Linked DNA regions of Neodiprion lecontei. The protein of the gene in region 1 purifies or fractionates together with the protein of each later gene. This does not show direct contact. Links are inferred from orthologs where the notes say so. Each region holds a gene or a part of one and is shown in the gene's direction. Other genes may lie near its edges.

Region 1 (9,621 bases):
TGAAGCATATACCTACTTGCGCGTGTGTGTGTGTGTGCGTGTGCATGTTTTATTTTTCTTATTTCATTTGCCGTAAATTTAAGAAAGGATACGCGACACGGTATACGTTACGAAGGAATTATATTGTATATTTGGAAGGAAAAAAAAAATGAACAAGTTGGCGGTGGTATGTTTAGAATTGAAAATTTCCACCGTGATGTTACACATCACGTTCGTGTTGTTGTTTTGTAAATAAAACGTTGTTGGACCTGCCTAAAAATAGACGATAATTTACGATATGAAAAACAGGATGGTATAATATAGGAATACATGTGGGTTATTTTGAAAGTGAAAGTCTTGAATAACATTATCTGTACATGTAATAACGATGTACAAATGCATTGCAGACGTTTCGTTGATTGAAAACCAAGTCAGAAGTTCAACTAAATAGTAAACATGAAAATACGAATCAGGGTTTAAGATATGCGGTATGAATCGAGTAGATTTTTCTTCGCAGCGATGACTTGTACTAAAATTTTTTAAGAGGATGAAGTTAGTAACGTTACAGTAACTATGCAATGTTTGGGAAAACTCGCGTTACTTCGCACATTTAGGATTATCTGAAATCTAGTAAACAACGATAAACAAAACATACGCACATATTTCAAAAAGTTGACACCTTCTAAGTCATTCGGAAATTGCACTTTAATGATTTTTTCTCCCTAACGTTCCGTTACTAAACGTTACATTAATAACTTCAGCCTCGTAAATTTAACTCTTTACTTTCCTTACAATTAATTCGTTACAGATATGAATTTATGCCGAGCATTTCGCCGGGAAAACCCGCGATAAGTTCTATTTTCTCCCTCATTTGGTATAACGTTACAACATGTATTACAAATAAGGAATAATACCTAATCTCATTGTTACTAAGCGTGCAAAGAGCTTGTAAGTAGTGAAAGTTTTTGGATTGCATGTTTCATGTTGTTACGTGCAAAGTTTCATACATATTATACAACATATATATATGTATATATATATTTTTTTTTTTTCGAATATTATTTCACGTAACTAACAAGATACCGAGGGAGGTTAATCTTTCTCACAATATTTCGCTGTCCACCGCTCTTTCTCTTTCTCAAATTATCTATCCAATTTATCTTGGTTTTCTTGATTATGCTTTTATCATCGTCGTTATTATCATTGTTATCATCACACACCGTCCGATCGCGCGACCAGTTTCTCGGGCATATTGCACACACCAGCAACCACACAACACACACACACACACACATACATACATATACATACCCGAAACACTTCTCTACCTCTTTTTATCCATACACTGTGACGGCGGCAGGTGTAAACGGTGAGAAAAAAGAGGAAGGAGGAAGACAAAAAGATCGGAGCGAGGAGCGCGGAGAGGGAGGTCGCGGGGGGAAATAATGATAACAAGTAAAGCAAGGAAAGTCACCGTCCGCGCCGGTCTCGTGATGGAAATAGCGCCGGGAGGGGAGATTTGGTTCACCGACGCCGTCGGCAGGTGGCGGCACCAGCCGATCACTCCGGCCCGCTGACGCCGGGTTTCGACCCGCCATCTAGCGGACGACGGAGGTGATTAGAATTCTCAACGTCGTTCGGTGAACCTCCGGACATCCCTGAGGCGGCGGTGGCGGCAATGACAAGGACGGCGAGAGCGGCGGCGTCGGCGACGAGGACGACGTAACGCGACAACCGTATTTCTCTAGTTTGTGTTCACGGTCTATACGGGTTTACACGGAGCAGCGCGGACCAGCTCGCCCGCTCTCTCTCGACCTCCTCCTCCTCCTCCGTCTCCTCTAAATCCACCATTTTCGCGTTCGTGCAAAATCCCCGTGAAAGGATGGAATATTATCGGCGGACTTTCGCGTAACCGCCGCACGTATACGGAGACGGACGCCATCTTAAATAAGGGGGATAATAACAATAATAAGAAAGAAGTAAAAAAAAAAATAAATAAATAAAATAAATAAATAAAAATCCCTCAACACAAAACAGAGGGTACAAAACCGGCGAGAAGATATCGTAGAGGAGAAAAGAAGAGAGGAGGGGAACGATTTTGATAACTCTCCTAAGGAGGGAAAAGGGGGGGGAGGGATTCTTCGTGCGCTGTTTCGACGGATATATATTTTATTCTACATACACACGACATACAACATGCATGCACATGCATATCTATTGAATATAATTCGAACGGATTGAAAGGAGAGGGATAAATGTAACGGGTGTAACCGAGAGGAATAATACGAAGAGACTGAGTAATATTCGTGCTGTACTCTGTTTCGCGTTGACGATCGGCACTCGTCGCGAGTGAACGGACCGACGGTCGTAAATGCTACTTACTACTGCTGTGGCGTCCGGATCGTGAGACGAGAGAGAAATATACTGACTAAAGTTAGAGAGAAGCGGAGTTGGTTCGACGACGGATAAAAAGAACAACTGTACACCGAAATATTATTTCTGTCTGTCGCTCTCTCTTGCTCTTTCTCTCTCTCTCTCTCTCTCTCTCTCTCTCTCTCTCTCCCCCCCCCCTTCTTCCCCGCCTCGACTAGTCGAAACACAACTTGTTCACTCCGTCTCTCTTTCCCTCTCTAACACACAAACTTACACAGCTACGCGTGTATACGGACAGAGTTTCGCCTCTTTCATCTTTTGTACACACCGAACGACACGACCTTTAGTCCGAAGTTCTCCGGCAGTAGTGGATTATAGCGGAACGTTGTACGCTCTTGTGCCGATATCTGCACGACGTGAGTAACGAAAGAGCGAAGAAGTACGCTAAACAGTCGACCAATTTTCGGTGGGAAAAATATATATATACTGAACAAGTGTCGACGACTCGATTATACCAAAAGCTTGCGAGAACACACCGAATGATGCACGCGACGAACAATTGGTGACACTGAAAAACTTGTTGTGATATATACATATGAGGATAAAGTACAGACCGAGAGTCGGAGAAAATAAATATTGGTTATCGAAAAGTTGTTACTGTGACACTGCGCAACGCCACCGAGGAGGATCATCGAGTCAGGAACAGTGTTTTGTTCAATAAACGTTCCTCACTCACCGTCGCCCCTGCAGCGGTAGTTGTGGTGGGTGGTGACCAGTAGTGGTGGAGGTGGTGGTGGTGGTGGTGGTGGTGGTGGGTGGTGGTGGTGGTGGTGGTGGTGGTGGTGGTGGTAGTTGTAGCAGTTGTCTGCAGCAGCAGTAGCAGCGGCAGCAGTAGTGGTGGTAGTGGCAGCAGCAGTAGTGCTGGTTCCGTTGGAGGTGCCGGTGGTGGTGGTGGAAAGGTGACGGCGGGGTGAAAGATGGCGCGAGCCACGGACGAGGAGTGTTGACCCATTTCGTAAATCGAGCATCGATGGTGGTGTGAACAGTGGGGTGTTAATTAAGTGCGAGGAAAAAACGAAAGACAGATTAAGTAATAGAAAAAGTAAAGAGAGACGCGAATCGAAGGACAAAACAAATAAACAAATTTAGAAAAAAGAAAACATACAAATAAATTTAAGTAGATTACACCGTGGATAAAAATAAGTCCGGATAAGGGATAAGAATCGAGTCAGAACATTATCGTCAGAGGCGAAGGAAGGGCCTGGGCCGGTAGAGTGAGAGAGAGAGACAGAGAAAGAGAGACATTGATCCGGGAGGTGTTCCTACTCGGTTAAGTTGCGATAGCGCGAGTATTCGGGAGCCCAGCGTTGATACATCAAGCCTCAGTTGTTTGGCTTGATAAATTAACCGTCTTACCGGATTCATAAAAGCTTGCAAAATTTTGAAAAAATTCGACATACGTGGAGCCCTGGCTGGCTCGGGCGGCTCTTCGAAGATGGGTAACAACGCCGCAACGGCAAACAAGAAGGTGGACGCCGCCGAGAGTGTCAAGGAGTTCCTCGATCAGGCGAAGGAGGACTTCGAGGAGAAATGGAAGAAGAATCCAACGAACACGGCCGGGCTCGATGATTTCGAACGGATAAAAACACTCGGGACCGGGTCGTTCGGACGGGTAATGATCGTACAGCATAAACCCACCAAGGAGTACTACGCGATGAAGATACTGGACAAGCAGAAGGTCGTGAAGCTGAAGCAGGTCGAGCACACCCTGAACGAGAAACGGATTCTGCAGGCTATCAGCTTCCCGTTCCTGGTCTCGTTGCGCTTCCACTTCAAGGACAACTCGAACCTTTACATGGTACTGGAGTACGTACCCGGCGGCGAGATGTTCAGTCACCTACGCAAGGTCGGCAGGTTCTCCGAACCCCATTCGCGGTTTTACGCCGCCCAGATCGTACTCGCCTTCGAATACCTTCACTACCTGGACCTTATATACAGGGACCTTAAGCCCGAGAATCTCCTCATCGATTCCCAGGGTTACCTCAAGGTCACCGACTTTGGCTTCGCCAAGAGGGTCAAGGGCAGGACGTGGACCCTCTGCGGAACGCCGGAGTACCTGGCACCGGAGATCATACTCAGCAAGGGTTACAACAAGGCGGTAGACTGGTGGGCACTGGGTGTCCTGGTGTACGAAATGGCCGCCGGTTATCCCCCATTCTTCGCCGACCAGCCGATACAGATATACGAGAAGATAGTCAGCGGCAAGGTCAGGTTCCCGTCGCACTTCGGTAGCGACCTTAAGGACCTTCTGAGGAACCTGCTTCAGGTCGACCTTACGAAACGGTACGGCAACCTGAAGGCAGGGGTGAACGACATCAAGGGTCACAAGTGGTTCTCGAGCACCGATTGGATCGCTGTTTTTCAAAAGAGGATCGAGGCACCGTTCATACCGAGGTGCAAGGGACCCGGTGACACGAGCAATTTCGACGACTACGAGGAGGAGGCGCTCAGGATTTCCTCGACGGAGAAATGCGCCAAGGAATTCGCCGAGTTTTGAGGCGACGAAGCTAATCTGAACCAATTTACGATCATCCGGTCGTGGCTGTTACGTCGTCGCAACATATCGCGCGATCGACAACAACTGGATCGACGACAACAACAATTACTACAAAAACAAAAACAACCACAACAAGAACAATATCAAGATCAACATAAACAACAACAACAACAACAAGAACAACAACAACAAGAACAAGAACAGCAACAACGGATCGCGTTGTCGCGTTCGGTATACAATCGAACAGTCGTCGCCGACGATCATGACGATGATGACGACGATGATGACTTTTCTGGACGCAACGTGAAACGCGTCCTTCAGCTACGGCTACACGGCTACGGGGGTTCAAATTGAGGATGACGGGAGAAAGGAAAAAATTAATAAAAATGAATAACAAAAAAAAAAAAACCTGGTACCGGTGCTAAGTTTCGAACGCCGTACCATGTCCTAATACCGATGCAGGATTATATCATATACGCGCGTATAATCCGTATACCCCGTGTCTGCAATATACGTGTTCCGTGTGACGCGTCGTCTCGTTCGGTATCACGTGTAATCCTTATAATTTGTCCTCGATTGAGAGAAGAAGAAGAATCAAAAGAAGAAGAAGAAGAAGAAGAGGGAGAAAAAGTTGAAGAAGACAGAGAAGAAGGAGAAGAAGAAGACGAAGAATAGTGAAGAGTACTGGAAAAATAGGAGAAAGAAAAAGAAAGGGAGAAGAAACAGAAAAAAAAATAAATAAATAAAAAAACGTTCAGCAACGTCGCGGGATGAACGATCCAAGATATAATTTTTGTGTGTGTCCGTGTGAACGTGTGTAGAAATGCAGATACATAGAGAGAAACACAGGATTCTATTTTCTGTTTTAGGGCGTGTTATAGAAAGAGAGAGAGAGAGAGTGTGTGTGTGTGTGGATGAACGAATTGGAGATACATAATCTCAACAAACATGATGATCTGTCTGTCCTTCCGTTATATAGTGTAAATTAAGAAAAATGTTTTAAGAGAGTTTCGAAAGGGGAAAGAGAGAGAGAAAGAGAAAGAGAGAAAGAGAGATAAAAAAGGGATAATCGAAACACGCGTACCTATAATTTTAAAGTCAGTCTAATATGTTGTCACGTGTAAGTCGAAGAGAATGTTCGCGGTGGTCGGTAGAGATTACGGAGGAGGTAATGAGAAATGATAGGACAGATCGTGTCGAACTGTCTCGATTCATCTAGCCATTCTAGCCTATAAACGGTATTGCTACGCGGCACTCTGCTAATACGAGTAAACATCCTTATATGAGTTTTTACGGTCATTTCTATATTATTATACTCTCTCAGCGGCGTTGTCGCTGCGGGCGAGGAATGATAATAATCATCTTCATCACCATCACCATCATCATCATCATCATCATCATTGTCGTAGTCGTAGTCGTCATTCTTCTCCTCTTCCTTCATCCTCTCTCTCTTTCTCTCCTCGTGTGTTTGTCGTCAACTTTTATTATCACACCGCAGGGAGATCTTTATCCGATGTAAACGCGTCGACGACGGCGTTGAAACACCCTCAATTCTTATTATGTATTTTTAGCGTCGAACGTCTTTTTTTTTTTTGTCGTTTCGTTTTGTTCATTCGCATCTTTTTATTATTGTTGTAATAATTTTTATATACGTATGTACATATTCTTTACGCATGTGAAAAAAAAAACAATGATTCTCCGATTGTGAATTGCGAATTCCAAACGACTTGCTCTGCGTCGGTGATTATCATTATTATTATTATCCTTGTCTACGGGGGGGGGGGTCGCATTGACCGAAAAGTTAGCTAACTATACTCGTGACACAGTTATATTTATATCGAAATTATAACACTGTGATCATGAATTCGGTTCTCGTTTGAATCCGTGTTTTGCAAATATTTCATGGAGTGATGAAAAAGTGTGGATAAAGTATACTTTGCAGTGACAATAATTCTGATTATCTTAAAATCTTGTAGGGATTCGTTGAGCCGATGGTTGAATCAATATTCGTTGTCGGATCGAAATCGCACATCAAGTCGGAGTATGAGAAACTAACGTTGATGAAAAAAAGAGTACGATATTGAATTTTGAACGCGAATCGTCGAGGTTTCGTTGTCATCGCTTTTCTCGTATTCATCGTTATTCGTCGATCGTTACAAGTGTGTTGATCGCTCAGTGAAATGTTAAGTGAATTTACCGTTACTCGTTCCTCGGGACATGTAAGTCAGCGGAGCTGCTCTTATGGTTTTCAAAACGTATCGTACGTAGTCTAACATTAACGTTGCATTTTTGAATCAGTACAATGCGCGCAAATTTCAGGACATCTCGAACATGATCATAATTTGACTTATTTTTGGAATAAGTTTGTTACGTTGTTGTAACGGTGCATCTTATAGAAAAAAAATGTCGTTTTCCTAACGGTGGGAAATAGTGATTTTTTTTTTTTTTTTTTTCTTAGTTTCAACTTCTCGATACGTTAACGTTACTAACTTCAGCCTCGTTTTTTCTACCATCTAGTAAATATCAAGCAGCTTCCTTGAAAGTGAGATTTTTACAGACGGACGCATCAACGCAATCCCCGTACTTTTAACACGAACGTCCTCCGAAACGCTGACGCGGTTTTCTTTTTTTTTTTTTTCTCGCGTTAATGTAAATTCGCGAACAGCGAATGAAGCGAGGTTCGTCACTTGTGCAGAGTACGTTGGATTCGAACTAGTTCGTTCTACGTATGCAAAATGTTTATGAATATTCAAACGGCGTTATTATAACCAGTCGTCTCGGAGATCTCAGGGCTCTCGTGTTTCTAGCCCAGGGGGACATTAATAGTAAAAGCGGTTTTCGTACGCGGTGGTGGCGTTATATTGCAGAAGAGCGCGTAACGTCGTCGGCGTCGCTCTTACGTACGCATCCCAGGGACCTTTGAAATTTCCATTGGAATATTCCGCAATGACCCGGTTCTTTCTCTCCGCCTGCCAAATCAACGACACCTGCCGACGTGTCGTGTACTGATAATCTACCGCTAACCCCCCCCCTTCACCAGAAATTTTTGCATTGTTTTACAACGTTGTGTTTCTTCATTCGTCTTGTTATGAAAATTATTTATGATAGTTTGTAAATTTTATTATGAAATTGGAGCGAGTTTTCTGCGGCGTAAAATTTTTAGACAAAAAGTAATAAGCAAATAAATAGAAAAGAAAAAAAAAGAAAGAAACAAACAAACAAAAACGTAGAACGAAGTTGGAATGTTTACCGTTAATTGTGTCACGGCGTCGTCGTCGTCTTTGACTTGTGTTTTTTTTTTTTTTTTTCTAAACAATTTATCGCGGTGTCCGGGGTGACGGGACTTTGTCGCGAATTTCGATAATGAAATTAGTAGAAAACGCGAAATGGAAAAATTGTAATAGAATACGAATTTTTTCGCCGTTTGTCAACGTCGAAAAATTTCGCTTCGCGTGTAACGTGTATTTTATTATTAAACGCTACATGCACGATGTGGTTTATTATTATTATAGTACGTACTTTTATCTTCGATGTATCTCTGCGACAAACAAGGTGAAGAATGAGAGAGAGAGAGAAAGAGAGAGAGAGAGAGAGAGAGAGAGAGAGAAAGAGATAGAGATGGAGATAGAGATGGAGATAGAGATAGAGAAAAAGAGGGAGAAGCGATGAAAAAATTAATTATCATTACATAAGAGAAAAGAAAAAGACGTGAGATTTTTCCGAGGGTTAACAATTGCGCTGCTTATGAATCCGTATTACATTATATTATATATCATATATAGTAAATAATATCACATATGAATTTGTATGGATTTAAATATTTATTACACTTATATAATACCGATACATGATACATCTTATTAATATTATTATTATTATTATTGCTGTTATTATTATTATTCTTGTTCTATCTGATGAAAACAGAACTTTTAAAACGCTTTACGTTTATTATTATTATTATTATTATTATTATTATTATTATTATTAATACTATGTTTATTATTATTTTGCCATAGTATTATAATGTTAGTAATCTCGATGTGTTTTTAGAAATAAAGTGAAATTTGTTGAAAGGAAAAAAAAAACAAAAAAAAAAAACTAGACAAGAAAAAAAAACAACAACAACACAGAAAGAAACGCGTGCGACCCGATCTCGGCAGCTGGTAGTTTTTGCGACAAAAGGAAAAAAAAAAAAAAACTGTCACGTATTTCTTAAGAGAAACTAAAGTAAGAGATAGAGAGTGAGTAAGAAATATTTTTAACAATCCTTCGTTTGATTTTATTTATTTAATATGTCGTCGTACACGCGCGTGCGCGTTTGTGATTTTTTCTTCTTCTTTTTTTTCCGTCTCTCTCTCTCTTTTTTTTTTTTTTCTTCTTCCTCTTATATTCATCAACTCGTAATCGTACAAATAAAGTATTCTTACAGCGCGTGTTCGCCAATCTCGCGTGGTAACACGTACGTACTACGATTGTCACTTCGCGTAGTTGATAAAAACGAAATGTGATTTAGAACGAGGGGAGGAAAAAAATTTATACGCATATGTATGCGTGCGTGTGTCCGTGCGCGTGTGTCAATAACGCACGGATAGAATCGCCGTAAAGAAAACGTAAGAAAAAAAGAAATCTGTCTGGTATCGTAGTAAAACGACGCGTTGGCAAAAATTGAAACAAAGCTGGCGGGAAAGTAGATTCTATGCAAACATGCGGCG
Region 2 (11,840 bases), on another chromosome or scaffold:
TACTTGCCGATCCATCTAACACAGCTCCCGTATTAGGTAACTTCACTACTTGGGATTCCGGTGATATTACAGCAATTGGTGCCTGATTTACTCGTTTGGCTACAAATGCAGAAGATTGATAACTCAGTCAGAGAATACATATTAGTTGATCAGTAAAATGTATAAACCTACATACTGCAATTTGACATTACAGTAGTTTCATTAGAAAACACGTCAAGATCATGTACTCAGTTGGATTATTCGTCAAATTATCAATGACATGCCAGGTAAATCAATGCAAAAGGTAGCATTATGATACTTACGTGGTAGAACGCTGACATTTGCATATGCTTCTCCATAGGCATTAGGACTGCTAACAACGACTTTGAACATATATAAGCCCTCGGAAAGATGACTAAGCTTTACTGTGACACGATTTTGATCCATTATAGTTCCAGGTGGTCCTTCTGGTTGACTTAATAAACTCCAAACATAATTATAATGCTCATTCCCTTGTTCCGCCGGGTAGGTATATGCTGTTAATGTGGCCTCATTTTCTGGGAGTTGAACTTCCTTAGATACAGCTGATACTGATAGTTTTTTTAATGGAGGTTTCACCGATGTGCTTGACTCCTGTGTGACATCTGAGGTAACTGCCTGCCTGAGACCATTGAGCTCATCCGTTGGTTTGCAAATTCCTTTAAAATTAGAAAAAATGTGGTTACAATTTATGGTGTTACGAAGTAGGTTAAATTTTAACATGGTTTTTGAATAATTACCTTGCAATGTTCTCTTGTAATTATCAATACACTGACAGAATCCATTTTTAGACTTGTCACCAGTTACACAAACCTCATTCTCTCCACATTCTTGCAAATCAAATGAACACTCGGTGTTAATGTCGGATCTATATGTATAATCATTTTGATCTGCAGCAGCCATCAGCAAAGCACTGAATGAAATTTATAGTTGTATTACATTTAGTCGTATCTGCGAAATATTATGTAAAAAAATTAAATGCGAACTAAATTGTACGTACCTGGTATCCTCGTTATCTTCGACCCAATTTGCCCATGGGCCATCTCCTTCTACAGGTCTGATTAATACCATAGTTGGTGGAATATAGCTATCAGCTTTGTCAGGCCGATATAGCGGAGCACAGAGTTTATTGCTTCTACATGATACATGATAGCAAGTATTATTGTGCATCAAAATAACGTTGCAAGTCAGATCATGGCAACATTCAGTCACGCAATGGACGATACTTGTAAATGAACTCATCTCCGTAAACGTTCCTGCACTGTAGTTTCCCATTGGAGCAAAGCCTTTGTATTCGTATGGATACATATCGGGACACATTCGTTGCCAATTCCCAAGTGAAAACTTGGAAAATTTAGAAAACTTAGAAAATTGGCTTGTCGTGATTTGCAGGCACAGGAGAAGAGACAGTGTGTGGATTAGGGATTTCATTGTTCAATAGCTGCGAAATTGGAAAAAAAAAGAGGATAGATTTCTTCAAATTGGGTTATTGGTTATTGTTATTAGTATAATTACGTCATCTTGAGTTTTATTTTAATAATTTCGTATTGCATGAATGTAGGAATATGTGAGAAATGAACACTCTGTATTGACACATGAGTGGTTGACGTTCGAGAGATAAAAATTCAATTTTCCAGATTATGTTTACTTCAAAATTTTCAATGTCTATTTACTGCACACACTATGTCATGAGCAAAGTGTTACTAGCATATTACGGATTTATTCATGTGATAATCAAGCTGCATTCAGTGTGATTTGAGTATAACCAAAGAAAAACACTACATAAGTGTAAAGTTAAAAAAAGAGGTATATCTTTTATCAGACACTTACCGCCGGTACATTGTCGCAACAGAGAAATAAGCTGGTGAATATAAAGAATATAGAGTCGCAAAAGTGGAATGCAAAGTATTAAAAATATTTGGTAAAGCCGCTTTCGATAACACACTTGACGTCTGCCGTTTGTACAATACGAAGTTAGGTTAGTATCACCAGCATATGGCACATTATGGATTATTCTAATATCAGTACATTAGAATAGCCTGCAGGTAATTAACATAATGTCTCTTATTTCTTTAATCCCCAGATGTGTTTCACGTACGTTTAACGGGAAGTTTTTATCAGTATGTAAATAATCTGCATACGGGTCTTATCGCACTTCCTCAGCCCTCTCTGACGAGAATCGGTCTAACAGCCGTTGCTAAAAACTTTAAAACTTTTGCTTACTCACCTGTAACACAAATTCACCATTCATGAGTCAGATCTTCAAGGCTAAATTCAACGTCAGTGGAACCATTAGAAAAATCGGATCTGACAGTTCTCCAATCCCTCCTTCTCTTTGATATCAGTGGACTAAATTCACGACTTCGTCTGCTTTGACAGGTGTGCGATGCCGTCTGCACTGGGCTGCTACTGGCATGGCGTAGAAATGGTGCATGAGATAACCAATCCTAGCTCCGTGGTGTTTTACAGAGTGATGTTTCCGTAACTTATCGCAAGATGTCGGTAAAAGACTTATGCGCTGACGCTGACGACTCACGGGCACGGCAAGGGCTCGGTTTTGGATGCGTTACGATGAACTGAAGACGTTTAGATGTGTCCCAGCTTTGCCTTCGGAAAGAGTATGGAAACTACACAAGGAGCACGAACTCCATGTAATCAAGTAGCAGCCTGAATTAAGATGACACTGGTGTTCCGTATGCACCGAAGGCAGTGCAGGGGGTATGGGGTGGTAGTGGAAACTTTCTACGAATTACATTGCAAGATCATCGATCAGTCGGCTTGAGCATCCCTGCAACCAATGACACTTCGGTACAAAAAATAAACCTAATGTAAACGATTACTGTGATAAGTTTAGTCAATTCACCTACTTGAGTTCTTGCTCATTGTGTAGTCTCCATGGGAAAGAGTTAGGTCTCCTCCCCTCTTCCTTCCTGGTAGCAACTTATCGCCGACTGAATGGAGGATCTTGACGTCGTGGGTGGTCCCGAGGTACCCGGATCGGGGGGTGGTCGCGGGGGCAGGGAGCAACGTGCGTGTGGTCCTTCGTCCGGCATACCCGACTACCCGCCGCCCGGCGTCGTCAGCTATAGAATGCGTTGCGGGCACGATTGCATGCGGATCGCTTTGTCTGAAAAGACGCTTCTCGGCGACGCTCTGATGACAAATCGGACAAATGTCAGAGGTTGTCGTGGAAAGATTGGCTGATAATTACTTACCTTGGTCAAGGAGTATTCGATATCAAGGTACGTGATCGTTAATTACACATCCCGGTTATTTTTAAGTAATTAAAAATTTTTACTTTCTCTTGGAGCTTTATAATTAATGGTATTTGAGGATAAAGTGGTGTGCATTGTGTGCAGTAAGTCCAATTTTCCATAAAAATATTATTTATTATAACAATATTATTTCTCCTTCGCGTGTATACACATATTTGGGTTGTCAGATTCTGATCATGTTTTTAATGGTAAATGTTAAATTAGAATGGTCAGAACCTGGCATCCTGATAAGCATCCATGCGTTTTAATTGTAAACATCATCGTCAACATAGTACTCAAACTTGCACACATGAATTATTGGTACTTATATCTTTGAAAAATCATTATTGAAATGAATATACAGCAACATCTCGTCAATAGGTACAAGATCAGCTTGTAGTAAAAAGATTGGTTTTTCCAGATAGACCTGAGAAACTGGCTACTGATTATGAGATTTATTTTACTATCAATAAAATAACGCAAGATGATAGTCTCAGTTTAGTCTATTTTACTTGAACTTGCTTTCTAGGAAAGAATATATGTATATTGTATACGTGCATTAAAAACAAGACTACAAGTGTAGCATTCTCTGTAATTAGATGCTCCAGCTTGCCTTTTTGATAATGGCCGTATTCTATGGAGTTGGATCAGAACTAAGCCGGAACTTTTTGTCTGTTGCCAATGGTAATAATGAAACCTGGAATGGAATAGAGATTGGAAGGTCAGGGCTCAGACATGAAGACCAGAGTTTCTTGATGGATGGATATACAAGTGCAGAGTCTGCAAATTGTAGAAAAGCGGCAAAGTGTATTGATATCAGCAACAATACTTTGTGCATGGGTACTAGATTGACGTATTCAACTACTACGTTAGACCTCATCCCTGATTCTACCTTAGAAGGAAGTATACAGGTTATTATTGTACATATGTATATTAATGATAAGGAAGCATGCATTTTGGAAAATTTATACTGAATACCTCCTGAACTCAGTACCTGATCTGTCAAAAATCTGTTCCAATTATAACGGGTTATTGTGATTCTGTTCGGGAGCAATACTTGAAAAACAGTTCTATTAGTGCTAAGAATAGCTTTGGTATTGATGGTAATCTTGAGATTCAATTTACTTCTATTATATGATGTAATTTTTTTAAAACCGAATCATAGGTGATTTATTTCAAGACTTTAAAATACTCTGAATTCTATTAACTGTTACTCTATGTATTTCACTGTGTACGTTTAACTGGTTTCAAATTAACTAATTGGATCTATGTATTTTGAATTCATCTTCACAGGAGAACTTGAACCAATTCCGTGGTCTTATGCACATTCCAAAATGCTGGGCAGTAGTTCAACCATTTTTGTGTTCAATCTTTATGCCAAAATGCATCAATGGCATTGTAGATTTGCCTTCGCAAGAGAAGTGCAAAATGGTCTCTGGCCCATGCCGTTTATTGTTTAATCACACAATCTGGCCAAGTTTCATCAGATGTGAAAATGCAGAACTTTTTCCAAAAATGTGTAAAAACGATGTCAGAGACTTGAAATTCAACACTTCCGGTAAATGCCTGAAGCCACTTATACACACAGACAATTCACTATCAATTTTCGACGGTATTGAAGGGTGCGGCACTCAGTGCAGCGATCCACTTTTCACACCGGACGAACAGCGTCAAATCCATTCCTTTGTCGCATGGGCTGCTGCAACCTGCCTACTGTTCAATTTGTTTACCGTGGTAAGTTAGTAGATTGCGATAATGAACTTGGCCCCTTGAATAGTTGCATTGAACTATAAGTATATATCAAGCTTTAGTTATGAATTGTGACTTTCGATCAATGAAAATTCATCAGAAGTTGTTCGTTATGTTTAGGTCACATTTTTGATTGACTGGAGGAGTGCTAACAAATACCCAGCTTTAGTAATATTCTACATCAACAGCTGTTTCATGGTATCGTGTGTAGGGTGGCTGGCACAGTTCGGTCCTGGTAGCAGAGATGTTATTGTTTGCCGAAAAGATGGCACTTTAAGAATGAGTGAACCAAGGTACATATAAATTTAAGTTGAAAATGAGCTTCTGCAAAGAATAAGATTAATTACATTGTTTCTTACTGATTTTTCAACGGGCCTTAAGTACGCTAGATGCATAAATAATGCCCTACTGAATCAGTATTTTACTATAGCAATGCGAATAATTGCGCTTATTTATAACCACTTATTCCTTATATGAACAATAAACTCATAATACTTTGTGTTTGTATACCTAAGTGAGTGCGTGTCAGGGAATATACTACACTAATATTACTTGGTAACAAATACATGTAGTTTTTCTCCTTGGAAATCACGTATTGCTTACGTTCAGAAACAGTTTCCTTGCTAGGCTATACTGAATAACTAATCAAGTACTTTAAATTGATAGGATACATGTGTATGTCACATCACATCATTGATTTGGTTCTACAAATGATAAACTGAGTGTCTGACTAGAATACTTATTAAGTAAAGTCTACTGTAATAAAAATCGCCTTCAAGCCATTTTGATATCTTTATTTGTGTCACGAGTAGATTGTAATTTTATTTTTATGTACCAATATTGAAATCATTTTGCAAATGAAGCAAACTTGATTCAGAAATTTTAATCAAATTAATCACACAACGAATATCTGTTTTGCAGCGGTGAGAACTTATCCTGCGTGGTGGTATTTGTTCTCGTTTACTATTTTCTGATGGCAGCTATGGTTTGGTTTGTTATCTTTACGTACGCATGGCATATGAGTTTTCAAGCTCTTGGAAAGATCCAGGACAGAATTGATAAAAAAGGAGCTTATTTTCATCTCATCGCTTGGTGTCTTCCGCTAGTATTGACAGTCACAATTATGGCTCTGGGAGAAATAGATGGAAACAGTGTTACTGGAATATGTTTTGTGGGCTATGCAAATCACGCTGTGAGAGCGTGGTTTTTATTGGGACCTATTTGCATTGTACTACTTGTTGGAGGATATTTCTTATCAAGAGGTATATTATTTTGAACTGATTTTGTTTTCAGTACAATGCAGTAATTCATAATCTAATTATACCATTCTATTTTTATGCTTTCTTCCACTCGTACTCAAAGAGTAAGTATGTTGCAAGATTCGTATATCTGTCAATTGATGATTCTACAACTTGGATAAACTAATTTTCTAATTGATTCGAAAAATCAGTTTCTCAAAAGTTTCTCCTGTTTCAGGATTGATAACGTTAATTCATCTGAAGATAAGCAGTCAGGAAGTAATATCTAAGCGAGCTAGCTCCAAAATTCGAGAAACAATTGTGAGATTGGGATTATTTTCGATATTTACCTTTGTGGCAGTAATAGTAACATTTTATTGTCACATCCATGAATTCCAACACTCGTGGGAATGGAAACAAAGCTTCCGAGATTATATGATGTAAGCGTTTGGTTATGCATAATTATTGTGAATTTTTTGTTAATAATTGTTTTTAAAGAGTACTTTTGTATGACCACTATCACTATATTGCTACAAAATACTGGACAATAGTAAATGTATAATTTTTTAAATGAATACCAATTTTATGCTTAGCTGCACTATTACAACGAAATATACTGCAGGAGTATCAGAATGTAAAATGACATCAAGACCCAGCGCGGCCAAGCTTCAATTACATTTATTATCGCCATTCTTTGCTGGTGTTTTAATGTCTTCTTGGGTTTGGACGGGATCAACTGTGGATACCTGGAAAAGATTTCTTAGACGGTGAGAACAAATTCCCCAAGACATGGCAGCTATAAGTAAATTGATATTGTGCAAATACTAAGTTTTATGTTGAAGGTTGATAAAGTAAATTCATTTCGAATGAATGACAAGAGTTCTTGAGAATTCTTCACCAGTATGCACTTTCACAGATTACGTAAGAATATTGATTTACTTACTTCGAATCTGTTCATCATTACAGAACTTTCAACTGTGAGGCAGAAGAACAAATTATACCAAAAAAGTACAAAGCAATTGCTCAAGCCTATGAAAAGAGAAATACATTTAAAAATGCTGGACGATTATCTATAAGCTTCCACAACACACATGAAGATCCAGTTGGTCTAAATTTTGAACTAAATTCAGTAGCCTCTCAAGACTTCAGTTCAACGTGGGCAGCTGCATTACCAAAGCTGGTGACAAGAAGGGGTGCTTTAGTTGGTGTAACAACAGGATCTGTATCGAGCAACCGACGGAATTCCGTTGACTCAGAAATTAGTTTTAGCGTTCGTCGTGTGTCTGTAGAGTCCCGAAGAAATTCATTGGATTCCCAAATCTCTGTACAAATAGCAGAACTTAAGACAACTAGAAAAGTAGCTTCCACTACGTTACCTGGTAATTCTCGTAGCAGGCGAGGAAAACGTAGGAGGCGCGATTTCAACAAGACAAGATCTGGAAAAGTTAAACCACTTTTTCGAAGAGGTAGTACAACATCACAGGAGAGCGAACTGGGAGCCCAGATTCTTTCAGCTTTGACTATTGGAGGGAATCCCAACATTCCGCCCTTACAAATGCCAAACATGAAAAGAAGATCTGCCAGTGCTGGCCTGGATGGGCAAGCCATAAATTCAAAAATGCTAGATGGTAAAAACGCAGGCATGATATTGCCGTTTTTATTCCCAGGACAAAGTGAGAGTGACGAAAACTTGAGCAGTGAAGAGAAAGGTTCGCGTATTAATCCACGTAAAGACATCGATGTGGAAGCCTGCAATGTGGATAAAGAAGAGCAGGACAGTGAGAGCGAAGATAGCCATGCTGAAGAAAATACGAAAATGATATCTGTTGAAGAACCTCCCGAGCGAAGTAAAAGTAAGTCAAGTAACAATAGTACAAAGAGCTATATTCATGACAGTAGTGGTCGACGTAAAGAACTGAAAGTAAAAGACATGGAAGTAGAGCTCAAAGATATGTACAGAAAAGGTGACCTGGTATCGAGTTTGACATCTTTCTGTCCGGAGCTCTCTCGACTCATACAATCTGACGATTCGAAAACGAAGTTAACAAAGCGTCAAAGTGATGATGCAAACATTCAATCCAATGCCAGAGAGATGGCTACACAAACTTCTCTCCCTCTTGATATTTTAGAGATGGAGGAATTAAAGCAAAGTATTGATGAAATAATTAACAGTAGAAATTGTAGCTCTAAAGGGACACAGATTTCCCCACAACTCAACAAAACAGCTAATCGTAAATCTTCTGACATCAGGTAGAGTTGTTTAGTCATACATGAAAATTGAAATGTGTTTTAAGCCGGTTTAGTGTCAGGTAGTGTGGAGTCAACATACGTACTTGCGTGTTCAACAAATCTAAGCTATGTTTCAGGTAAAGCCGAGTACTGTTGAGATCTATACTTCTTTTAACGTAACTCTTTTAACGTAATAACATTATATTAGGATAAAAAATAAATCCAGCTAAGTAATAAGTATATTTTAACTCTGTTCAATGTCGGGAAATGTATTTCGAGAAATTGACCAACTTTGTAAAGCAAATAATTGTGATACTCAATAAGCATGATTACTGAACATTATACAACTAACCGTCACAATTTATTCATCTGAAATCAGATGATTTAATTGTACGTACTCAACACTTCTTATATTTCGTTATAATTTATAGTATCATGATGTGCCCTTAATTTACTTTTTTCAACTTTCATGTAAGCTATCTATTACGAGCATCCACGTACGCCATTTTACATAATCTTGTTGACATTTAATTAAGGTATGATTTAAGATGCATGCCAGAAGTTGGCAAAATATGGAGGCAAACAAATTCTTTTTACATATTTAACATTTTTTTTATTCTCAAATCAAGACTGACTGAGTGCATAACGTTCCAACTTGTTGGAGCAATATTGATCGTACTTTGTTCGGAACAAGTATCCGAGATCAATATTGTTTTCGATAGATAATTGTGTTATAGATTGACTCCAATTCTTGTACAGGTAATCAGTATATCAGCTTTTTTAAGTATTAAGTTTTATTATACATAGCATGGCTACTATCATAATGTCATGTTCAATTTTTTCCGTTTACAATAATAAAGTGCAAAAAAACCACCCATCCCATTGTGTATTATATTACTCAATGTCTCACAATTCGAAACAATGAATTGCTCGAGTATAGTGTTATCTAAAATGAGCCAGTGTAAAATGTTCGAGATGAATACAGTTCCTATTGTACAATGCAATATTTTGATGCATCTGAAATCATATTGCTTGAAGCTAAAAAATACGTACATTTTCACTTTCTATGGATAGTAATTTACAGTAAAACCACAGATAAGTAAGCCGTACTACGATTAAAGCACTATCGCACAAGAAATGAATGTAAACATTATTAATGAACACATTTTAGTAAACATTAAAATACTTTAAGGCAACAACGTTCTTGTTCCTTTTCGAGTAAGTAAACGAAGTACTACAATTCTTACTAGATCTCACAATCAAACAAAACTCGACGTACTATGAAATAGCTCATTCATCAATTTAACAATCTCCATTTATTTTTACAAAATGTAACAAATTGCTTCATGATCAGATCTGATTGCTGCAATAACTGTCCTATATAATAACTATATTTATCGTTATTGCTTAGATAACAATTATCAACGATTCTTATATGCTGAATTTTACATCACGGCGTAAACGTGATGACATGTTACAGTAATAACAAATGCACTGTTACGAAAAATGCGGAAAGGACAATGAAAAATCTTTTAATGATATGGATCAAAAATTAAACAAAAATATATAACAATTTATGCATTGGTAATAGCAATGAAACTATATAATACCAACAGATTGACCCTTCATTTTGATTTCTTCTTCTTGGCACTCTTACCTACAGATTTCTTAGCCCGTCCTGAAAAATATCAGATTGCAATTACTGAAGTTTTGTAAGTAGAGAGAAGTTAGAGTATGGGAAAATGTTATTTTTTCACAAATGTTAATATTAGCAACGGGAACATTCATTTGAATGCAATAAAACGACCATTTTAGATCAAGCAGCCCAAGGAAAAGTCTGGAAGTATACAATCAAGTACAATGGGTTCAGTAAACTTGAAAAGGTTATTCAAAGTTATTCAATTCACTTATATAAATTTGGTTCTTCAAAATTTAATTTAAACGTAAAAGATTAATACATGTTTAAAACATATATTGATAACTGAAAATGAACTGATTTAGTCGTTTTGTAAAATGTTAGTGACGTTGGACCTGACCTGACTTTCAGTGAGGTTACTTCTACTCCATCAAATATACATCCCCTTGAAAATATGCATTTGGTGGAGTAGGAGTAGGAAATAAATCGGCGACCAATTCGGCGGGCGTTAGGGTCAAACCTTGGTCATGTAAATTCGGACCACTTTACACGCACTTATCGAATTGCAAAATTAAATTTCAATTTTCCAACACAAAAACGCATAGATTAGATGTTCATCGATAAAATGTACTAGTTTTGAAATCAAAACTTAGACAACTTTGAACGTGTTCCTAAACATGCAGACGTGCATTCAAAGCACAAATGTGTAATCACCGCCATTGAAGAGTATGCATAGTTTCCTGACATTTCCTGTGAAGGCTACTTGAAATGAGATTTGCAGGGATGAGATAGAGCGTTACCCCAGATGAGCCGATCCAAGTACTCTCCCAAGATGTACAGAATTGCAGTAAATAGGAAAAGTACAACGAAAAAACCAACCCGCTGTGGCCACGACAGCACCTCCATGACAGGATATACCCAGATTTCGCTCTTTGCATAAATAATAAGCAACCTGCAGAAATAATTCATCATTAAAACATCATAAAACTCTTTTCCTCTAAATAATGCAATTATTTATGCTGTGACGTACCACACTAAGTAGGAAGCCATAAATATAAGTAGGCCTCCAAGACCAGATAATCGTTTAGGATACTGACGGGGAGCGACAATCATTTCAAGAACAGTAGTGACCATGATTAGAGTGTGCATCAGATGATTTAACCACCAAGGAAAATAAGGATCTACAGCAGCTGGTAGTACCAGCTCACGGTCCACGAACATGAGTGCCCAGAAAGTCACACCGACAAACTGAAGAAATACATGAAATGAAACAAAAGCCTATAAGTTCAACTTGGTACTTCATGTATTGTGGCAAGACATGTGCAAAAAGTAATCTCATCACATGAAAATTATTTATCTAATTCATACCAGTAACTGCTGCTCTATACTCTTTTAGCAAACAGCTCACATGGCCAGTTGTACATATAACACTATCCATATACTGATCATGGCAAGCTCGGATTAAACGTTAACTATTTGGTATACAGCAAGAAAAATTCTTGAGGAGGAAATGACGTTAATTTAAATTTTTAGTCTCAATAATAAGCTGAAAACTTTGAATATTATACTCACCATTGCAACTGGGAATCCAAAACTGGCGTGAATAAAGTCTTTAACACGGCGCAAAATTGGCCGTTTTGCCGGACTCAACTCATTGCTTCCACCAAAATCGTTTAGCAGGCACACGAAAAAGAAAACGGCTTGTAAAATCTGCGA
Region 3 (10,854 bases), on another chromosome or scaffold:
TCACGGCCCAATGGGCTCCAAAGAGTTTATGGAATATGTCGTGTCTCCATACACTCTGCAAAGCAGAGGACAGAGTTAATATTCGACGCCGCGGTAAGAACCAAACTGCACGAGATCAAGCAGCTCCGCACCGCATTTGCTAAGAATCCAGCGCATTTCTGCACGAATTAATAGCAATGACGTCGGCCAAAAATATTTAGATTGGAGTAATGTTCCATACTGTGAAGGGAAAAATTACCTGAGTGTGGGCGATGATGCGCACAACCTTGCAGTACTTCACAATCTTCTTAAGATCCTTCTCGATTGATTTGCGACCAAGATCATCCTGCCACTTCTTTGATGCCTTGGTGAACGCCTTCTTCTTGCTCTTATACCTATACAACAGCAACGAGGTTCCTAAACATATTGTACGGAGCCAGTCTCATCATAGCGAGAGGAGACTGGACACCTTCTCGGAACAACCCCATGCATAATGAGGATTACGCCAGGCGGCTGATTCCGAATATTACTCTCATCTTTCGAGTGGAGAGCTGGGGTAGAGCAAGTAGAGTATAATGCACGTCTAATCACAGAAGCTAAAACTACATACTGCACTAGTAAAAAGAACAGTGTTGACTTGATGTTTTCTTTTTGCATTACTTTGATATATCAAGCTATCTAAGGATCTGGTAATTCAAAATGTTCAGTCTACAATCAATCGCATACCAATTCTTGTAGAAGCGGCGACGGCATTCTTCTGAGAGATGCTCTGCCCAAACAGTAGTCAGAGCCCTAAGACCATGAGGAGTTTCGATGTATCCAACAACACCAACAACAATCATTGGTGGAGTTTCCAAAATAGTCACAGCCTCGACAATTTCCTTCTTGTTGACCTCTGTTAAAAGCAAATAAACATGTCGTTGCAGGATTAGAGCGTGAGGGCTATGAATTTGCTCCATGATTAGGGAAGGGTGAAAATAGGGTAATCGACTCACTTGATCCCGGACGGTCAGCTTCTCGGACAACATGGGTCATGCCAGCCTTATAGCCTATAAAAGCAGTAAGGTGAACGGGCTTGGTAGGGTCATCCTTGGGGAAGGCCTTTACTTTTCCACGATGCCGTTGAGACCTCTTCTTGGGGTAGAACCCCATAGACCCGTGTCGGGGCGCGCTGAATTTTCTATGAGACTGTGGGCAAAGAATGAAAAATACAAGATTAGAAGTTGCAGATGGCCACGTGTGACGGGCGTTTTGTTAGGGGATAAAATTCTCAGACCGCCCTAGAATAATATCATCAGGGTTAATCAGTTTAAACCATAAACATTGAAATCTAAATCATCACTGATAGGAGTAGCATTGCATCGAAAACGCCAAAAACTCTCGACGAGCCAAGGGACGCGACACGAGGTTCGAATTTTCCGAAAAATTTTTACGGCGTTTTGGATTAACGGTAGGAAAAAAATATTGCACTACAATTACAGAGAAACCTGTTCTCAGTAACTCGATGAGTTAATTGGACGCAGGCGATGCAGGATGCCACAGATTTTAACGGATTATTTTATCACCGACAGACATCAACCGTACTCACCATCGCGCTGACTGCGTTGAAAATGGAGGATCGTACGTTGCGGATTTCACTTTTATACCGCAGTGATGACGGCAACTATGGAGAAGCCTCGATATTCGATTTTGGAATTCGAACGTCAAGTCGAAATGGAAGAGACACACCTCTCGATTACTTGACATCGATTCACTGCAGTCGGATCTAAATCTCTCTGTCGTCTGCCTCGCACTTATTTTGAGAACATTGTTTGTTGTAAATAATAATTAAATAATTGTCTAATATGGCAGAGGAACGGAACATTGTCATCGCATTTGCTAACGCGGTATTCAATATTCTTGACGGACCTGTCACCTTTTTCCGAGGTATTATCTAATCACTTCTTTTAGGTTATGATACGAAAATAGCCGATGTTCCGAACGACCGCCCGTGTCTTCTCAAGCATGTATATCTCGATGATAATTCCTTGATTACGAATTTTAGAAAAAATTGTTGTCCCAAATCAGCAACATTATCCTTGGTACCACCAAAAATTTCGCCGTGTTCCAACCATTGATGAGTGTTATATGGATGATCCAGTTTGCTCGTACGAAGCAAACATTCAGTTCAAACGAGACAAGTAATTATACCGAGTTACTGGTCATTCTTTCTGGGTAGCTTCTTCCTATCAATTGTCAAACTTGGCTTTGTTTCTCTCTCATATTTCAGACTGGTTGAAAGCGATATCATAAATATTCTAAGACAACGTTTCGAGGATTGTACTTTATATGAAGGACATGACCAAACGGCCAAATGTCGGCATCTGTGGGATCAGTACAACGAAGCTTCTACGAATTGGTTTATCAAGTGTATGTTGAGTATGGCGCCGACTTATCTTACTTGTTGAATCTTCTGTACTCTGAACATCTAATATCGAAGAATGGTTTCTTCAGATTTTCAGGGATTCTATATCTCCACTGCACGATACTGTACACATAGTAAACATTATTATCATTTTTCCAGATGGTGACCTTGGTGCATACGGTCACACACGAGACGCATTAATGAAACAAAAACATCGCATGATTTGGGAAAGACGATATGGTCCAGTTGGAACTGGAATGAATCGCGAATAAAAACTAAAATGAAAATACATTTTATAGAGTCGCGAAAAATCGATATTGTAGATAATTATACACAATAAATTAATAAAAATGATCATGAAACTTTTCTGATTTTTAAACAATAATGTAATTGCTAATCAACTCAATCTATCGCCAATAATTCCAAGCGAACTGTGAGATGTATCTTGAAGAAATTTATTGAATGTATGTAATACACATAGAGGTGTTTCTCTTCTATCTATAAACCGTTCAAACATCATTCGTAAATTCTGCTTCAGCTATGTGGTTGCCGCGCTTTCTTCCGTATGCAGCTAGAATATACCTATATGTATTTACAAATTTTTCTGAGGTCGTTGCGCTACCGACCACTGGCTCTATTATTCAGCAGTTTTTTTTTAAAACTAGTATTGTATCTCTACGTTCCTACATCATTCCTACATCTCTGATGAAAACAAATTTTTTTTATCAACATCAGGCGCACGCTTAAAACCAAGGACTCTAGGTATAATGCAGTATACAAAATAAAGTCTGAAGAACATCCGCGCCTTATACTGCAGGTGACGGCAATTTGATAAACGTGACTCACGTGATCGAGAATGCGATCTGAAATTAGCTCTGAGTGAAATTTGAATTCAAGGAGAAACCATCAAAAGAACGGCGCACGTACTTCGACTGTTCTTCGACGCTGCGGAATCCAGATCGCATTTTTCGGGGTGGATCAAGAAATCTGCGTTAGTATATTCCTACTAAATTTATAATAGGTAATTATATCACATAAAATAGTTAATTTGGCTTTTCTTTTACTGTCTCATTCTTGCAAGCTCTTGATAAATGTGTGCTTGCATTGTTACTATGATTGTGTATTCTTCGGCCAGTTAATTAGAGCAAGTTTGTTTAGTCGGTTTCGAATGTATAAAATTATCGTTCGTCAAATGTTTCAGTCAACGTTTCAATGTATCTTATATTATGCCTAAAAGCTTTCAGTCATCTTGAGATTGCTCCCGAGTAGAGTTTTCAGTAATGATAACTGTTTTCTGATGAAATAATGCTTCGACAATCATTCATCTGTTGATTGAAATTCGACGACTGAAAAAACCGTTACAATGGAATCCGGACTATGTGGTAATTATGTTTCGATCAATTCGCCGAAATTTTCACGGTCAACGAAGGGCTACCGGCTGTCTGCGTCGAACAAAAAAAAATCCAGCTGAATCAAAAATTAGCAGAGATGGGTTTTTTCTGCCAATTGTATTAATCATTGTTCATTAATTGATTATTGATTATTTGGTGGTCGCTACACCCAATCATATCGCCTCTATAAGACTTCGGCAGAAAACGGCGGCCAAAATGGCGGCGCTCGACCGGAATTGATCAGGGTAATTCTTGGCACGTGAATTGTATGTTGTTTTGAATCGTGTCGGACGTTTGAAACATTGACACGCGCACGTACAAAAGGTTCTCTGGTCTGAGGTTATTCGAATGACGGTAAACTACGTCTCCAATCGTGCGAATTCGACATGGAGAAGTACGAGGTACTCGGTCAGGTCGGCGAAGGATCTTTCGGGCAAGTCTACAAGGCCAAGAAGCGAGCGGACGGTGAAGTTGTCGCTTTTAAGGTTATCAGAAAGGTGAGCGCGTTGTTTCCATTTTCAAATTCTCAGCTCCGATAGGTTTCGACGGTTACACACACGCACACGCACACGCACACACAACAGAGCTTACGCTATAATTAAATTTGTATATGCAGCGCGGTCGTTCGCTTAAAGAGCTCAAGAGTCTGAGACAGGAATGTGAAATACAACGTCACCTCCATCATCCAAACATCATACAAATGTTAGATTCTTTCGAGACTGAAAACGAGGTGAGTTACTCGACTTTCATGCCGTTTTGAGATTTACTCTTCTTTCGGAATTATAACACGCACGTCAATTATCGATCCTCAAACCATCTTATGAATGTATCTTTAGATCGTTGTCATTACGGAATATGCTGACAAAGAGTTATATGAAATATTAGGAAAAGCTGGCCGCTTGTCAGAGGAAAGAGCCCAAGTTATTGCCTGCGATCTTGTCTCCGCACTTTACTACTTACATTCAAATAGAGTGCTTCACAGGTTTGTGGATCAAATTTTTCTCATTTATGGCAGGCGCGACAGAGTCGATCGCATGTTAATTTACCAACTCCCAGAGTTCTTTCTCAGTGTTTTAGAAACAGTTGCTTGACACGAGTTTTGACATATCTTGCGGATTAGTCGCCAATGCATTATTAAATCTAATTATTATTTCAGAGATTTGAAACCCCAAAATGTTTTGCTTGAGGCTAACGGTGTGGCTAAATTGTGTGATTTTGGATTTGCTCGAAGCATGAGCACCGGCACACATGTTCTCACTTCGATAAAAGGGACCCCTCTTTATATGGCTCCAGAGCTAATTGAAGAATGTCCATACGACCACAACGCTGACTTATGGTGCGTATCAAATATCAGTGACATCTGATGCTGTTAAAAATTATTGGGAAATGAACAGAAGTTAGTTTTGTACCTTCAAACTCGGACAATGGATTATATTTTTTTTATTGATGTACAGGTCCCTTGGCTGCATAGTTTACGAGCTAGTGGTTGGAACGCCTCCTTTCCAAACAACTTCCATATTACATTTGGTCAGACTCATAAGATTTGAGGCAGTCAAGTGGCCAGACTATATATCAGAAAACTGCAAAAGCTTTCTGCAGGTGAGCATTTTTTTAATACCTTAAAATTGGGTTACCAAATATTCTTATCTAGTAACTCATTATAATTTCTGGAGGTTTTTGGTCAATACCTATTCAGGGTTTGCTTCAAAAAGATCCCTCGCTGAGGCTCACTTGGCCAGATCTTCTGAATCACCCATTTGTCAAGGACAGGATCCTGATGGTCGGTAGAACTGCTCCAACACCGTTCACAACTCCCCTGTCCGCGAGTCAAGCACGAGCTAAACAACAACAGCTTCAAAGTCTCGCCATGCGTTCCACTAGTCAATCAAAGTATGATTTTTTTACTAAAATTTATACCTATCATAAACAAAGTACTATACGAAAATTTTGCAAGGTTTTCTCAAACTGAGAAATGTCTTTTTATCAATATATTGGATTTCTTCTGTGATATTTCGAGCCATATTGGGCGGAAAAAATTTGTTTAGCTAAAATTTGATGGTTCAAGTTTCACAGTTTCATGATATTTTACAGAGTTCTGGAAAAAGCAGTACAAAAAATTCAAGAACAAGAACGCAAACTAAGGGAACAGCGCCACATGACTTGCGTCTCTCAGCCTCGATACCCAATTACACGTGGATATTGTCAAAACCGGCAATGTCAAATTTTGTGTCGCAGTGAACCTAGTGGATCGGATTCCAGTGCCAGTGTTGACGTGCTGCTTGGGAATCTGAGCCTAAGGGCATCTTTGCGGAGCGATCTGCTTGCCGCAGATCACGCGCTGTGCCAGAATGATTGCCCTAACACTAACGTTAGGCAAGCTTCCATCACGGGGACACTTGAAACTGCGCAACCGATGAAGACGGACGAATTCAGAGGAAAATCTACCTCCCGACGGACGTCTAAGGACAATAATTCACAGGCTCGGGGTGATGGAGCGAGTGTTTGCCACAAAGGTACATCTGCAGTTGAACAACTGCCCGGTGCCGATGGTGATTACAAGCAGAGTCGTTTGAGTTTCGACTATGATCAAGAATTTAGTGAAGATATAGCTAACAAGCAAGTCAGACTTTCTGACTGGGATCCCAGGGCGGTTGAACAACCTATAGAAAATGAGGAGTGGGTGGCTTTTCTACAACGATCAATGGAAGAAGTGATGGATGGAGAGGTCGTGTCGTTGCTGCAGCAAAACTGCGTTTCCGTGTTCGTTTCGCCTCTAAGAAACCCAGCCGCAGGATGCCGGGTCGTCGAATATGTCGCCTGCCTCTTGTCCCTGCCTTTTGTCCTTCCGATGAGTGTGGAACGCCTGAATAAAATAAAACAAGTCTATCTGGACGTCAGGGTTGTCCCAAATCTGGTCTATGCAGTGAAGCTCTTGATGTCGGAACGCCGAGAAGACTCGAGTCCTTCGCCGACCGGCGACACGCGATCAGCTGCCACTTTGTCAGCGGACGAGCTGCAGGCACTTGAATGTGTGATGTTGATGCTGTGCAGACTTGTTTACGTTCAGGAGCAGTTTCTGACGCAGCTTTGCGATGCTATTTACATTGTGAACGGTATGCCTCTTCTTCAGCAGCTCATCACTTTGGAGAAACGGAAGTCCAGGGTCGTTGCCGACCTTGTAGCCATATTCAACAACGTTCTCAGGTGTCAGCCTGAAAACGCCGAGTTGGTGGAAAGAGTCGTCCTTCGCACAAAGACACCCGGTACTTATCCAGCACATAGTTATTTTACCCAACTTTTTTTCCCAATGCGCAACAGTAATCGAATTCTAACTTACAGTCGAACAACTTAGCAAGCTCCTCACGCACAGACAGAGCGTTCTAAGGGCAAGAAGCTGCACGTTGGTCAGATTACTTGGAAGGTTCAGCTGCAGGGCACTACAGCAGGCCTGGGGTAGGCCACTTAGAAATCTACTCGAGAGTCTGACACTAGACAACGAAGAAGTAGTGCGTAACGTGAGTATTATATTTAGAGAAAAATTTATCTAAATTCTCCAGGAATCAATCAATTTCACGTGCAACTGCTCTGTCTGGTTTTCTTTTTCTGTTCGTTCACCGTCAATTGCGTTCTTATAATTCGTTTTTTGTCCAAAATGTACATTAATTTCGATTCCTCATAAAAGATTCTTTATCGAAAAACGATGAAAATTATAAACCTGTTTTGAGAAAAATCAGATGAGAATACATCGATTGCTGATTGGAACCGCTCGTTTGCAGGCCGCTGAAGATGCGGTTAGTGAGTTGAAGCAACTGCTGTATTACAACCAGCAGAGTCCAACCGGTTAACTGCAATACGTTCATCATCATAAGTATCATTAAGACGTTCTGTGTTTCCGTTCCAACCTGTGCGACATGGATCTATTTTCAGTGAGTTTTTAATTTTTTTTTATTTTCTTTTACAGTTATTTTCAATTGCATTTCAAATTCAAGATCAAGGGTGCTTTTCTTCGATTGTTATCGAGCATTAATTACGGCGAAATACTTTAATTGCTGGAAAGGTTTATTTAGCGAAAAAGTACATCATAATAATGTGCTTATTATTTTTTATCCCATCGTTCTCAAAAAAAATAAGTATAATTTGAAGAAGAACATAATTCATGGTTACTGTAGCAATTTCTGCCGACGAAAAGATTAAATAAGCTTTACGCCGATTTTTCATACTTTTCGTATTACCGTAAAATCGTGATAGGAGTAATCTGTATGTGATATGAATTTCACGCATTGATTATATACATAAACACTTACACATAAATTAGCTTTATCATTAGTGAATTTACAGGGTCATTTATTCGTTGCGGAACACCGGGTTCGACTGACGCAGTCGTTCTTCCTGACGCATGCATAATTAGTTCCCTTTCTTACCCGGGTCTTGCGTTCAGCAACGCATAAATGACTCTTTATGATGTATGTATCGAATTTGTTAATTGCGAATTTGATTTAAAAGATATTTATATTTCTTTTTACACAAATCTAAATACAATGCCCTCGGTATTTTACTATCGGTGGAAATTATCGTCTTCCGTTATTCTCGCATGTTTCCTGCTTTCGGTATGAAAGAATCGCCCATCAGAATTACTCTAATTTGAGCTACAGAGCCCACAAGAGTCAGTCGAATAGCCAGCCAAGTATATTTTTCTCTTCGCTAGACTCGCTCGTGCTACCAGATTCGCTTGAACTCTCCGAAGACTCGCGCGCTTTGCATTCCTCTTCGTACATGCGGTCGATTTTCGCGATATCTTTCTTCGTCAATCCCTTGCGCTGGCCAAGCTTTACCTCCTCCTTCTGTAAGGAAAAAATGGGTTTTTAATTTTTGTTCGAATTTGTTCGAAAAAGAGTCTAATTAATATCATCCCTGAGGTGCCTAACCGTAGGCAATTCATAGTTCTTGCAAGCAAACTGTGTGCCTGATCTACCGTCAAGCGCGTAACAATTTCAGTTTCTTACTATTGGTGTGATCGTGGGCTGATTGTTCTTCGAAAAAGCGTGCGAGCTATAGTGCATGATGCTCTTGTAGTCATAGGGGATTCCGAAGTCGGTTACTGTCTTGTTGTCGTATTTCTTGAAGTTGTGCTCCTTGCCTTAATGAAAGAAAACTTTTTTATATCGCAATTTATCATGCCAAGAGGCAAATGAATGGGTATAATCGTCTGAATCATGAGTTACGAAATGAGAAAACAAAAACCGTTGTAAAAATCTTCAGCCATGTTATTTACGACAATGATGGTGGACATGGATTAAACAACATTATATTATGTTATAGAAATGAATCTGATCGAATTCGAATAACACAAGCTAAGATGTCAACAATTTGAGCAGAGGTTTCATAATCAAATAATTCAAGATGAACCTTCGTTTTTAGGCTCGTTTTACCCGCCGATCAAATTTCCACAAATTGTTTGAAAACCAACCAAGAAACCTCAAATTATAGTATAATCGTAACGTGGCAATGTAATTGTTGACAAAGATTTGTTGTACCGTGCTTTCGAAAATCTATTTTCATCTATCGTCGAGGTGATTTTTTGTGAAATTTGTAAATCGCGATATCTGTGGCAGAAAAAATAAGCCCTAAAATATTGAAAACACCAGAGTTAAATGATCACACTTCGACCAATCGAATCGTAAAACCTTTTTTCAAATTGTTTTTATCCCAACTTGAGTGTCCTTAAAATTCGCTGAGATTCATTTCGATTAATGCATAGTACGGATGTCGTTTCGTTCATTCATCATTGGTGTAAATAACACTACTGCGGTGATTGTTTAAACGGTCATCCTCTTTTTAAAAATCTCATTTCGGATCTTGGAGGCGATTAATCTCCGGCGTCAATCGCTCCAAAGGATAACTCTGATCACACCTTCCTGGATATTATCCCAATGTATCTCGACCCAATCGTCCCTGTCCGCGGCGCTCTGCTGATGGTAGAAACCGAGCGCGTGCATCAACTCGTGGACCACGATCCCATGCCTTACGCATTTCGGGTTATTAACATTTAGGACTTGCCCCTGTCCGTGCCGACCGACCATGGACCAGCATCCCGACTCGGTTCCCCTTATCGACACGTAATCCTCGTCGGATTTCTCGTAGGGTCTGAATCGCAGGCAAGTTCTCTCGTGATACTCGGTCAGCGCTCCCTTGATCACCTCGATGCCCTCCTTATCTACGATTTTGTATAATTAAGAAACTGCGCAATTATCATTATACAGGTGTACCGTAATATAAGCCTTTCACCGAAATCCTCCTCGTGGATGTGGTAGGGAATCTCGCCACGCGGCCACCGCGCCTCGGCTTCCAGGAGTCCGTTTTTCGCGATGTCCCGTCCCTCGGGATGGACCATGATGTCACCCTCGAAGAGACCGCTCAGTTCCCAAAGATTCTGCGTGTCATCCGGCTTCCAAGCGTCCATTTTGCGACCTTTTTTCCCATAGAATAAAGAACATGTGACAACAACAAACCCTTATATAACGCGAACATGTTTTACGCATTTTTCCGTGAATATTTTCCGTGCAGAAAGTACTCGTTTCTAATCGTCGGAATGAGTCTGCGAATGCACATGCGCGGAGTACTGAAAAGACCACTTTTAAGTCCTCGGAGTGTTGAAAGTGGTAATTTCTGTACTGCGCGCACGCGCTGTCGTGAACAAATCTGACATTACGCTATTCTAACCTCAATTTCGTGTTTCGCTTCAAAAACGCGTAACATACTCTTGGTACATAAAAAATCGTGTGCAACAAGGAGACAACTGCCATTTCGCCTCGCGTGTTTGCAATATTCTTCTTTGATTTCAGCCACGACTCATTTTGCAAACTTACGCTCGTCCCGAAAAACTGACTTTGCCTCCTAGTTACACAATATGTATACTATTCCCTTGAAGGAGAGCTACGTTGCGCCGGCAGATAGGCAACCGAAGTTACACCTTACACGCAGTAAACGTAATCCGAGGCGTAACTTCGGTTGCCTATCCGCCGGCGCAATTTCGCTTTCACAAAAAAACCATTCATTATACGCTCTAGACGCATATTACCG

What was found. Proteins that work in one complex are often made in the same cells at the same time.
Region 2: the proteins of cAMP-dependent protein kinase catalytic subunit 1 (region 1) and protein smoothened purify together in Drosophila melanogaster (affinity purification with western blotting; 4 studies listed by BioGRID). This does not show direct contact. The link is inferred for Neodiprion lecontei from reciprocal best matches to the Drosophila melanogaster genes Pka-C1 and smo.
Region 3: the proteins of cAMP-dependent protein kinase catalytic subunit 1 (region 1) and serine/threonine-protein kinase fused purify together in Drosophila melanogaster (affinity purification with western blotting; 3 studies listed by BioGRID, with this or other methods). This does not show direct contact. The link is inferred for Neodiprion lecontei from reciprocal best matches to the Drosophila melanogaster genes Pka-C1 and fu.

The regions. Positions count from the first base shown.
Region 1 is NC_060264.1:27,452,105-27,461,725, forward strand, and holds the start of cAMP-dependent protein kinase catalytic subunit 1, read left to right. Parts: upstream 1-3,195; 5' UTR 3,196-3,847; coding exon 3,848-4,909; 3' UTR 4,910-9,621. UniProt on the Drosophila melanogaster protein: Serine/threonine-protein kinase involved in memory formation. Promotes long-term memory by phosphorylating meng and by regulating CrebB protein stability and activity.
Region 2 is NC_060260.1:28,860,244-28,872,083, reverse strand, and holds protein smoothened, read left to right. Parts: upstream 1-3,122; 5' UTR 3,123-3,260; intron 3,261-3,871; coding exon 3,872-4,183; intron 4,184-4,565; coding exon 4,566-5,006; intron 5,007-5,141; coding exon 5,142-5,314; intron 5,315-5,942; coding exon 5,943-6,283; intron 6,284-6,497; coding exon 6,498-6,699; intron 6,700-6,852; coding exon 6,853-7,026; intron 7,027-7,225; coding exon 7,226-8,513; 3' UTR 8,514-10,003; downstream 10,004-11,840. Other genes in the region: dyslexia-associated protein KIAA0319, read right to left, coding at 1-99, 303-677, 759-931, 1,019-1,449; androgen-induced gene 1 protein, read right to left, coding at 10,114-10,166, 10,925-11,076, 11,155-11,372, 11,697-11,834. UniProt on the Drosophila melanogaster protein: Segment polarity protein required for correct patterning of every segment. G protein-coupled receptor which associates with the patched protein (ptc) to transduce the hedgehog (hh) signal through the activation of an inhibitory G-protein.
Region 3 is NC_060263.1:2,683,164-2,694,017, forward strand, and holds serine/threonine-protein kinase fused, read left to right. Parts: upstream 1-3,195; 5' UTR 3,196-3,404; intron 3,405-3,713; exon of another isoform or gene 3,714-3,965; 5' UTR 3,966-4,160; coding exon 4,161-4,271; intron 4,272-4,390; coding exon 4,391-4,504; intron 4,505-4,610; coding exon 4,611-4,756; intron 4,757-4,930; coding exon 4,931-5,110; intron 5,111-5,228; coding exon 5,229-5,373; intron 5,374-5,470; coding exon 5,471-5,664; intron 5,665-5,865; coding exon 5,866-7,037; intron 7,038-7,113; coding exon 7,114-7,289; intron 7,290-7,508; coding exon 7,509-7,619; 3' UTR 7,620-7,636; downstream 7,637-10,854. Other genes in the region: 60S ribosomal protein L3, read right to left, coding at 239-374, 706-874, 975-1,167, 1,568-1,570; NADH dehydrogenase [ubiquinone] 1 beta subcomplex subunit 10, read left to right, coding at 1,824-1,905, 2,024-2,159, 2,249-2,388, 2,543-2,655; zinc metalloproteinase nas-14, read right to left, coding at 8,439-8,615, 8,778-8,911, 9,686-9,988, 10,060-10,242. UniProt on the Drosophila melanogaster protein: Probable serine/threonine-protein kinase; maternally required for correct patterning in the posterior part of each embryonic metamere. May be involved in control of cell division during metamorphosis and ovarian development. May interact with costal-2.